Oreochromis niloticus: one gene and its partner. The protein of the gene in region 1 interacts with the protein of each later gene in a pairwise test. Links are inferred from orthologs where the notes say so. Each region holds a gene or a part of one and is shown on either strand. Other genes may lie near its edges.

Region 1 (4,948 bases):
TTAAATTATTGACCAAAGAAGTCAATACATGCACTTTGTCACTTTGTATAAAATATAAAAAGTGTTTAAAATTTCACAAATTGTAATGTCCAGAAGAAATTTATGAAGAGATAAAATGGATATTGAGTAGAAATGAGTTAAACCTATTGATGCAGCCCTTAACAACAGGCCAAGTTTCTCATGTGGCCCCCTGGGAAACTTAATTGCACAAGGGGCCACATGAGAAACAGGTAGCACTAGGAGCTACATGCGACTCCTGCGGATAAGAACATCTCCCAACATACGCAAGATATTCCAGAGAAAGGAAAGACAACGCAACTAATGGGAGGCCCTTCCTTTCTCTGGAAATCCGTTCTGTTCAGTCAAGTCAAATCACAACAGCTGCCTTATGGAACTTTACATTGTAAAGTAAAAATACTACAATAATAGTGAGAAAACCACAACAATCAGACGACCACCTATGATCAAACATGTGGTGCGAGTGGGAAGGAAAAATTACATTTTAACAGAAAGAAATCTCCAGAAGCAACAGGCTCAGGGAGGGGCAGCCATCTGCCGTGACCGGGTGGAGGTGAGGGGATGGAGACAGGACAAAAGAGACACCGTCAATCAAGATATATAATTCCTGTTTGTGCTGTTTGTCATTGTGCTGGGAATTTTTGAACTCTTAAAACAATTTCTCACTGGGATCATTGCATTTCTTCTAACTTACAATCAAAGATTATCTTATGTTTGGTTATTCCAACAGATTGATGATGTCTTCCATTGGGTGTAGTTATTTTTTCTCAAGAATTTTTCAGTGGAGAAGTTGAGCCTGACATCCATAAATAGCATCTATACAACATGGCACAATAGCAGGGATATTCTCAGTGCTGTTACATGTGTCTACATGCAGACATTTCATGCTTCTGCACACCTTTTTTTTTCATGCAGGCATATTCAGTGGACACACCCATGCCTGAGGAGCATTGGCTCACTCTGGATCATTCCTAATCTCTGAAGTGATAAGTTCACTTTGTCACAACAGTCCTGTGGGACTGCTGCTCTTTCCTCACAACAAAATCATTCACGACAGCTAATTGACTGAACCTTGACTACATATTGTTGACGTTTAATTATTGACTACACCGGCCATCTAGTATCCAAAGAGAATGAGAAAGGTGGGGCTGTCAGGCTCAAGGCTTTCAGTTTGGACTACAAAGTAAAAAAAAATGTTTACATGGTAAATACAACACTCAGGGTAGTCTTTATTTTCATCTTTGAACTATAGTTATGCCAGTTGTTGGTTGTCGAGGCCTTATGCAACTGAGTGCAAAGAGTGCTGTTTATTTAACATAGCCTGTGCCTTCTTTCATACAGATTGCACATTTTCTTTAACTACCATTGTTTATTCACTGTCAGGTTTCTCTCCTGTGATCTAAAAGGACTTGATGAATTAATAAAGAGACAAGGCCATGCCAAGGCAGCTTCTTTTCTTAACAAATGATTGTGAAGAATAAGCCATTAATAAGGTACTTTCTGTATCAACATTCTCATTGTCCACACTGAGCTAGCTTGTTGCTATGTACAAATCCACTCCTCATTTTTAGTCACAGACATCAAACCATATTTGTATCGACCAAACAAAACACACCCTCAGAGTAAAAGTCAAAGCCTGAGAAATCAGACAAAGTATGAGTGTCTGCAACGCAAGGTTTAGTTCATGCTGCAACATAATGATCTGTCTGTCAAATCAAAGCACCGTGTTACTGTAATTGACAAGGAAGACACCTGTTACAGGTGTAGTTTCAAGACCGTGAAGATAATAAACTGATCTGTGACTCGTGTTAGGGGAAAACTCACTCAGAGAGTGGAAACAATAAGTTGCTCATCAACAAATGGGTTAGTCATCATATCATAAAAATATTTAAATAGTACCAGATAACCTGCTGACAGGTCAACAATCAAGGACTCTAAGCGTAACATAGCACAAGGCAGGCTGGACTCAGGCACAAAAGTTATGTGTTGTAGAGCATAGACCAAACATAGGCAGTTGTGTTCAGACATGTCCATGAAACAGAAAAATTCCAACAAGCCATTTTTTCTCTTCATGCAAACATCTGTTTTGCAATCACACACCGATAAACAATGGAAAAAAACAGCAACAATCAGCCAGCTATCTATCAAGTATTTAACTGCACACCAAATGTAACACAGCATAATATTTTTGATGTCTTCAGCACATTTTGTTCCTTTTAGAATAAACACGGGATGTGCAAATCAAATATTAGTATAATTTCTGCCCTTTTACTAATCTCTGCATTAGGCTCGTGTGTATGTTTGTCTATCCTGGCCTGTCTCTGAGTTCATAGCAATCTGAACATTGAGTCTGAGCCAGACCTGACACCTCAATCTGGGAAAACAGCTGAAGCCAGATGTGAAACCCCATGAAGCGTCACTTGTATCTGAATGGCTGAGTGGGTCAGAACAGACTGTACTTAACACCGGCGCACATAGAGAGAATAGAGAAAATCGACATACGCTACACTCGCATGTAAACTCAAACATACAAATTTAATGCAAATTTTTCCATGCAAACACTGGAGCAGCAATAACTGCTGGCACGATGTTCTGTGTATTTTAGTGAAGCAGTTAAGATAAATAACAGACACGCTTCGAATAAAATGTAAAATAGGAAACTATACTTACATGGCTTCATAAACAACATTCACTTTCGGCAGTGCAGTTCACCTGAACAGGTAAAGCCTGGCAGGCAGTGTAACTTTAAACCATTCAGAGAGGAGGTGGAGGGGAAGGACAGGAGAGTTAAATGACTCCGTAAAGAGGACTTTGTCCAACTCAAGCAAACCGGAGACCGACTGACAGTCTTCAAGTAGAAAGAGAGAAATTTTATCCTGCTGCTGGACTTTATAAAATATGGAATGAGTCCAAAGCGGAGAGGATTTCTCCTGTGTGAGCCCAGAACCTGCTCACCTCTAAACAGGCAAAGGTGATCAGGAAGTGGGCAGAGAATAGAGGCGTGGTTAGAGAAAAGGTAAATAAGAGAACTGCCCAAACCTGTATTGGGAGTTCAGCAGAAGCTGGATTTTCTTCTAAAACAGTGTGGGCAGAGGAACCGAAACCTTGAACTTTTGTTAAAGGCAACTGAAACATTTCAAAAGTGACTAGTGCTAACAACAAAAATATTTTTAATTAACTAAAATGTCATGCAAAATGCCACCAGTGCCTTAAACTACAAGTTCAGACAGGACCTTTCTATAACATGGCAAAGATTTAATAACCCACTAAGCATTTTAAACACCTACATGATTGATTTTCTGCAGACCACTTACTGAAACAGAAACACTGTGCTCTGTAGTTTAGCAGAAAGCCCATAATCTGAGTAAATGACAACATGTCTCAGGTTTTTATAATGTTGCCAGGTACTGTAGAGTAAGCATTTAAACCTTTCTACAAGACAGAAATTGGAATATTTGCTAGCTGTATATGACTTTCTTTCTTATAATTATCTAAGCTTTCCTTTAGAAAAGCTGCTTTTAAATCCACGCGTGTGATTCCAGCTTTGCGCAAAACAGTTGTTATCCTTTGTGTTTTCACGTGTGGCTTCCTTCTTTGCTTTTCCTACCTCAGGCTGCTCTTTAAACACAGATACTGTGAGCCACAGGTGCTCCAGACTCACTGCAGACATGAAGTGACAATTCTTTATGAGTCACTCAGTGACGCAGGCAGAGCTGAATCATTTACCTTGTTTATTAAGAATATTCTCAAACAGTACTCGCTTGTAACATATTATTATGCAGTACCTGTCAGGGTTTTTTTTCCCCTCATCTGAAGCTTATTTTGAGTGCATGAAGGGAACAAACAGATGGGTTACTTAAAAGAAAATAAATGACTGAAGTGTAGCAAAACAGTTGCAGTTGGGTCAACCAACCAGGAGTAAATCTATTTAACGATTTTAAGATTGTGATAAGTAAAGTTCAATCTTTTCTCATGTTCACAATATCAGCAGCATTTGTTTAGTCCATTTTTACCTCCAAGTGCAATTTATTTCAGTTGCAGTTCACATGGAGCTCACAATCCTGCAAATGTGTTGTTGTTGTTGTTGTTGACATGAACTTAAATGTTCTTGGATTTGGAGATATAAATTTGCCACTCTTATATTTTCACAATCACTGTAAAATTAGAGGATGAGTAATAGTTTCTGAACTAAATGAGTGCAGTCTTCTCTTCTCTTCTCTTCTCTTCTCAGCAGGACTCCAGCAAACAGTATGATATGGCAGGATGTACTAAGAGTCAGGAATGCTCATGAAATTCGCCTTATGCTAAATTATACAGTGTGTATTGCTGCAGTGAATCAAAGATTTTAAGTTTCTTGAACTCTTAAGTTCTCTTTGAAGTGCTGAGTTGAACCTGCATCCTGTTTCATTTCTGCTGATTCCTCAGCTCCCTGCTGCTGGAGCTTATCTAAACACTGTAGTGCAGGTGAAACCAATCTCCACCTTCTTCCTAGCAAACTTCCCTGCCTTTCTCTTATTTCTCCATCTCTCAGAAACACACACACCAAACAGTTTTACTGTTTTCTCCATTTCTTCACAGCTTAACTGTTTCACATTCCTCTGACATATTTCCTCTAAGTACCGTGCAATGATTTGAATTCAGATGGCAGATGCGAATGGAGAAAAAAAAACAACACACAAAAAAAAACTTGGGTGACAAAAAGACAGGGACTATTTCTCTTTTAACTCAGTATTTGAAACAGCCTTTATTAAGTTCTTTTTTTATCCAGTCTCGTGTGGCAGTGAAAGGTCGGTCGTCTCTCTTTTCTTTCCACAGAGCATCCATATTTCATGGTATCAATGCAAATGCCTTGCCTACCATGAATATTGAACACGGGAAAGAACAGAATGAAAGTAATCAAATAGATGCAACTGAGCCAGCTCCAACATCA
Region 2 (4,948 bases), on another chromosome or scaffold:
AAAGTGCAGCCCATCCCTGCACAGGACTTGTACCAAAGACCTCTAGCACAGCCTTTAAAATATATTTCACAATAAAGCTCGTTGTCACCTTCTTGTCTGTCACTGTCCAGTGGCCGTCTTCACTTTGTTTGAAAGTGCAGTGCAGTCTGGAGATCATCAGGGGACAGGCTGGAGACAGTAGTTGGTAAGTTACATCCACACCACGTCCAATGGTGATCTGCACAGCCAAAAATAAACACGTTAGTTAGCTCCACTCTGCATCTCTCCAGTTCTATAAAAAACGGACAGGGACACTCTTCAGCTTAAAACAATTCTAAATTATTAACCATAAATTGAGGGTAATGTTCCCCCTACATGTAAACTGGAATCTGCCGTGAACCTGAGCAAGCTTCATGTTAGTATAAATATAGCACGTTAGCTAACATTAGCAAGCTGCACCTCTGTGTTTTCGAACAAGCGAAGCCAGTCAGAGTTTCTCCCGACTCTCATCAGACAAAAAACCTCCGAGTCCGGACATTCATCGTCTTCAACCGCACAGCAATCCGCTGCCGTCTCTTTATCCATCTTATCTCATTCTATCAGCGGCCAAGTCGTCCGAAAGGACACCACTAACTGCGTTGTTTCAGCTCCTCCGCCACATCCCGACATACTGGGAGAAACCGGAAGACATTTCATTTTCTTTCAAAATAAAGGCCACAGATGTGCTTCAACGCTTATCTTTGGACAGCCCATGAATCACTTGGATCCCTCTAAAATCATTTAGTTTTTTTATTAATTCAAAATTTATTCAGCTTTTGCAGACCCAAAGTAGAAATATTACGGTGTCCATGAACATATTACAGTAGGGACAAAACAAGACGTAGAGTTTTATGTTTCGTCACTCATTCAAGTAACTTCTTCAGTTCACACAATGCATTATGCGAATATACTGTTTATAGAGTTGCTAATAAGGTCTGGAATTTAATTGCCTGCATGACTGAGCAACCATCAAGACAAATAAATAAATGAAATAACACTTTTAAATTTTACCCTGAACCAGCTGCTTAAAGTAAATACACCCATTTAGTTATATTAACACTGAAATACTCTTTTTTTTTTTTTACCCTCTCCACTTCATTTTCACCTCAGGAAAAAAAAACAAATCTTTTACAATTGAAGGTCAAGAATTATAATAATTTATAATTATAATAAAAAGTAATCATGTGGACCCTGTTAGTGTTGTAATAACACATGTTTAACTTCAAACCTTTTAATTATTCCTACATATAATAAGTTTGTGTTTGTTAGTTTGCATTTTGTATTGCCTCAAGACACCGTAGACGTCTATAATTTCTTTTGTTTTATCTCTTTTGGTAAGCACATTGAGTATAAGTGTAAGGAATGGTGCTATATAAATAAAACTGACACTGACACTGATATTACACAGTCACAGTCATATTGTATTTTATTATAAATATTATTTGTTTTTTCGTTAGAGCTTGTGTTTACTGTTATTTACCATTCAAAAGCAGTGTAGTGAAAGATACTTATACCTAAAAAAAAAAAAGAAGAAAAAAGTGGAGAATACAACAACAACAACAAAAACCCAAACAGCCAAACATGAACATTGTTACTTTGCAGTATTTTAACCGTAGTACTGCTTCATAACTGTTGCTGGTGTATACAGTTGTTAAAAATCCCTGCACCTTTAAATAAAATAGCTCTTCTTTCTCCCCGCAGCTCTCAAACCTCTAACGCGCCGCGGTGCTCTTCGTCCATTCGGGCGACCCCGAGTCCCGAAACGCGCGCACCCCGAGCTCCAGGCGGGACTTCCTTTCTCCTGCGGATGCGCTGATATTAGGGTGAGCAGGCAGAAAGGGCTTGGTCGGGGTGTCACCGGTCTATCCGCGCGCCTCTGCACAGCAGATGACCTGGCCGACGACTCCGCTGCCGCTGAAGCCCCGTAGATGAATCTCCTCCTCGGCTATGCTGCCCTGAGAGCGCCGCGAGTATCCGCCCCGCCAACATGTCTGATGTCAACAAGACTATTCAGAAATGGCACGCCAGTTTTAAGAAAGGCACAGACTTTGACTCGTGGGGACAATTAGTGGAGGCTATAGATGAGTACCAAATGTAAGTTGCATTCAACATGTGTGTCCTGTGTGTCCACAGCGCTGGTTTAACCCGAACGCAGTCCGGGCGCTGTGCTTCTTCTTTTTTTTATTCTTTTCCTTTCTCTGGGTCGCCTGTCCCTAAAATCTGCAGGGAAACATGTAGGAGACAGTAGGTGCAAGAAGTTAGCCCGTGTGCTGTCAGTCAGCTCTCGGAGCAGTAAATAAACCCTACCCATCCATGACGTGATGTGGCAGTTGTTGCAGTGGGGAGCAGATGTGTTGCCTGATGCATCCTAGCTCCGTCCACAGCAGCACTTTGGAGTTTAAGGGAGAGTCCGTCCATGTAGCCTGTCATGGAAAATCGGTCGGAGCTGCGAGCAGTCTGTTTCATTATGTGTCATGCAATGCAGAAACGGGCCAGTATTCCTCAGAGTGTTGGGAAACAGTCAGCCACACCCTCTCATTGTTATGGGTGGGTTTCATCTGCTGAGTGAGGAATGGTTTCTGCTTCTCAGACCAGATCTTTGTCTTTGCAATTTCCTTAAAATGTGCCCAGCTTCTCTCCCAGTTAATAGTTTATTTAAAACTGCACTAACAATACAAAAATCCAGATCCATGCAGCAGCTTCTACTGTCCGCAGGGGGGCGCACAGACACACACCTTACCTTATAGGAGTCTTGCAGGGTCTTGCAGTGAATCATTAACGCGTCTGTGTTTCATGTGGGTTCGTGTAGTTTGGCAAGACAACTGCAAAAAGAAGTCCAGTCAACAAATTCATCAGACTTCACCGAAGAGCAGAAGGTAATCATTACATCCGCCTGCAGCTTCTGCACCGGAGTGTCTGTCACTTTACTTAAACTAACAAGTGTTTTTTTTTTTCTTTTAAAGAAAACTCTGGCAAAGATTGCAACATGTCTGGAGATGAGAAGTGCCAGTTTGCAGGTTTGTATAGGAGTCTGCATGATTAGTAGCTACAGAAAGGAGGCAATGTCCAGGTTTTCAGAGATGCTGAGGTCATCATTATTATATAAAAGTAAAATTTGAGCATCAGCAGTTTTACTTATGCATATAACGCTTTTGAAAGTGGTCTTGAGCAATAGTTCTCCAGGCTTTCTGAAGGTCTTTCAAAGTTTGTCTTTGGACATTGGCCAATGGTCCTTGTACCTGACCATTTCCAAAGGGAAGTTTTTCCTTGTTAAGTCACTTAACACTAACCTGTGACTCATTCAAGCATAAAAAGGCACCTAATTCAAGGGACAAAACGGTCTTGTATTTACACATATCAGGCAACTTAGCAAAGAAACAATTTAAAATGTTATCTTTAGACACTTTGAGTTTTAAAAGGCATAAAATTGTGTTTGTTGGACTGATTCCCAAAGAGCTATTAACTGAAAAAGTGTCCTTAAAAAATAAAATATGGAAAAGTGTCAAGTATAGAAGAAAAGAAGAAGTGGCAGGCCTGAAATACAAAACAGTGCTTCAAAGCCTTAAGAAACAGGAAAAAATCCAGCAAAAACCTGACACAGGACCTGAGAGATCCATCTGACCCTTCAGCTGAGCCTTGTACTGTTCAACAAAGCTTCATCAGAAATGGTCTCAGTGGAAGGGTGGCTGTCAGGAAGGCGTTCTTAAGGAAAGGAAACGGGGAGAAAAGGCGAAGGGATGCCAACTTAAACAAGAACTGGACTGAAAATCAGTGCCAAAAGGTCTTATGGAGTGATGAATCCAAGTTTGACATTTTTGGTTCAAATCGTCATCGGTAAGTATAGAAGGGGTCAGGAGAGAGGTGTAGCGGTGGGTGTCTACACCCATCTGTAAAACCTTGTAATGATTTGGGGCTGCGTTTCTGCCAGTGTGTGTTAGGGATCTTGTTAAAATCGATGGAATAAGAACACAGAAAAGTACAATCAGATTCTGGTCCGTCCAGAAAGTGTTTGATAATGGCTTTATGTTTCTGCCCAAACACACTGCCAATGCAGGAAAAGTATTCCTGAATACAGAAACACACAAAGAGTCACCGTCAGTCATGGATTGACCTCCCCTGAGCCTGAAGCTCAACATTAATGTGAGATAAGTGTGAGATCGTCTCACATTGAACAGAAGACGACCAACTTCCAAGAAAGAGCTGTAAATGTCATTCAAGAAGCCTGGAGAGCTATTTCTGAAGACTGCCTAAAGAAACCATAAGAAAGTGATCATAAATCTTGACTTTCAAGCTCGTTAGAGTTGTTTTTGCCTTGTATGCTGTATGTTTAAACATTTTTCTCTTTCCCATTATGAATAAATTAGGGATGGCTCGAGACTTTTGCACAGTGCTATAAAAAAAATACATTCACTTCCTGGGGAAAAACAAATACTGAACATATCCTTTGTCTGGGTTTCTTCAGTGCACTCAGTCAAAGGAAGAGTTCAAGTTAGAAGACCTGAAGAAACTGGAAACCAGTAAGTGTATGACTGGGGTTTTTCCTGGCTCGAAATGGGCCTCTAAGGGGCGACTGCAGAAAAACATGATTGGTGTGTGTATAGTAAAGATGTTGAAACTGTGTGGCCTTATTTGACAGAACTCTACATGCATTCCTGTCATTTCTGGGCATTTTGCAAACAAATGTTTATTACACTTTAGTAAATGAAAGACTTTAAAATGTTGATCTGGCGATTTATTTTTTTTTTCCTTTTGCTCTGGCCTGTGGAAAAAATTTCTCTGTGAAGGAAAAACACTGATGAACAATTTACTGGATATTCTGACATGTTTGAATAGTGATATAATCAACTCTACTCCTTTTTCTTCAACAGTAATTAAAAATGTACTCACCTACAACAAAGAGTTTCCATTCGATGTTCAGCCGGTGCCGTTA

What was found. The genes of interacting proteins can lie anywhere in the genome.
Region 2: the proteins of lnx1 (region 1) and aida interact in binary tests that used the Homo sapiens proteins (3 or more experiments, as listed by UniProt). The link is inferred for Oreochromis niloticus from reciprocal best matches to the Homo sapiens genes LNX1 and AIDA.

What each region holds. Positions count from the first base shown.
Region 1 is NC_031986.2:37,504,792-37,509,739, forward strand, and holds the start of lnx1 (E3 ubiquitin-protein ligase LNX), read right to left. Parts: upstream 2,988-4,948; 5' UTR 2,689-2,987; intron 1-2,688.
Region 2 is NC_031980.2:14,133,549-14,138,496, reverse strand, and holds the start of aida (axin interactor, dorsalization-associated protein), read left to right. Parts: upstream 1-1,651; 5' UTR 1,652-2,005; coding exon 2,006-2,112; intron 2,113-2,827; coding exon 2,828-2,894; intron 2,895-2,981; coding exon 2,982-3,035; intron 3,036-4,480; coding exon 4,481-4,535; intron 4,536-4,886; coding exon 4,887-4,948. Other genes in the region: E3 ubiquitin-protein ligase rnf8, read right to left, coding at 89-217, 424-564. UniProt on the Homo sapiens protein: Acts as a ventralizing factor during embryogenesis. Inhibits axin-mediated JNK activation by binding axin and disrupting axin homodimerization. This in turn antagonizes a Wnt/beta-catenin-independent dorsalization pathway activated by AXIN/JNK-signaling.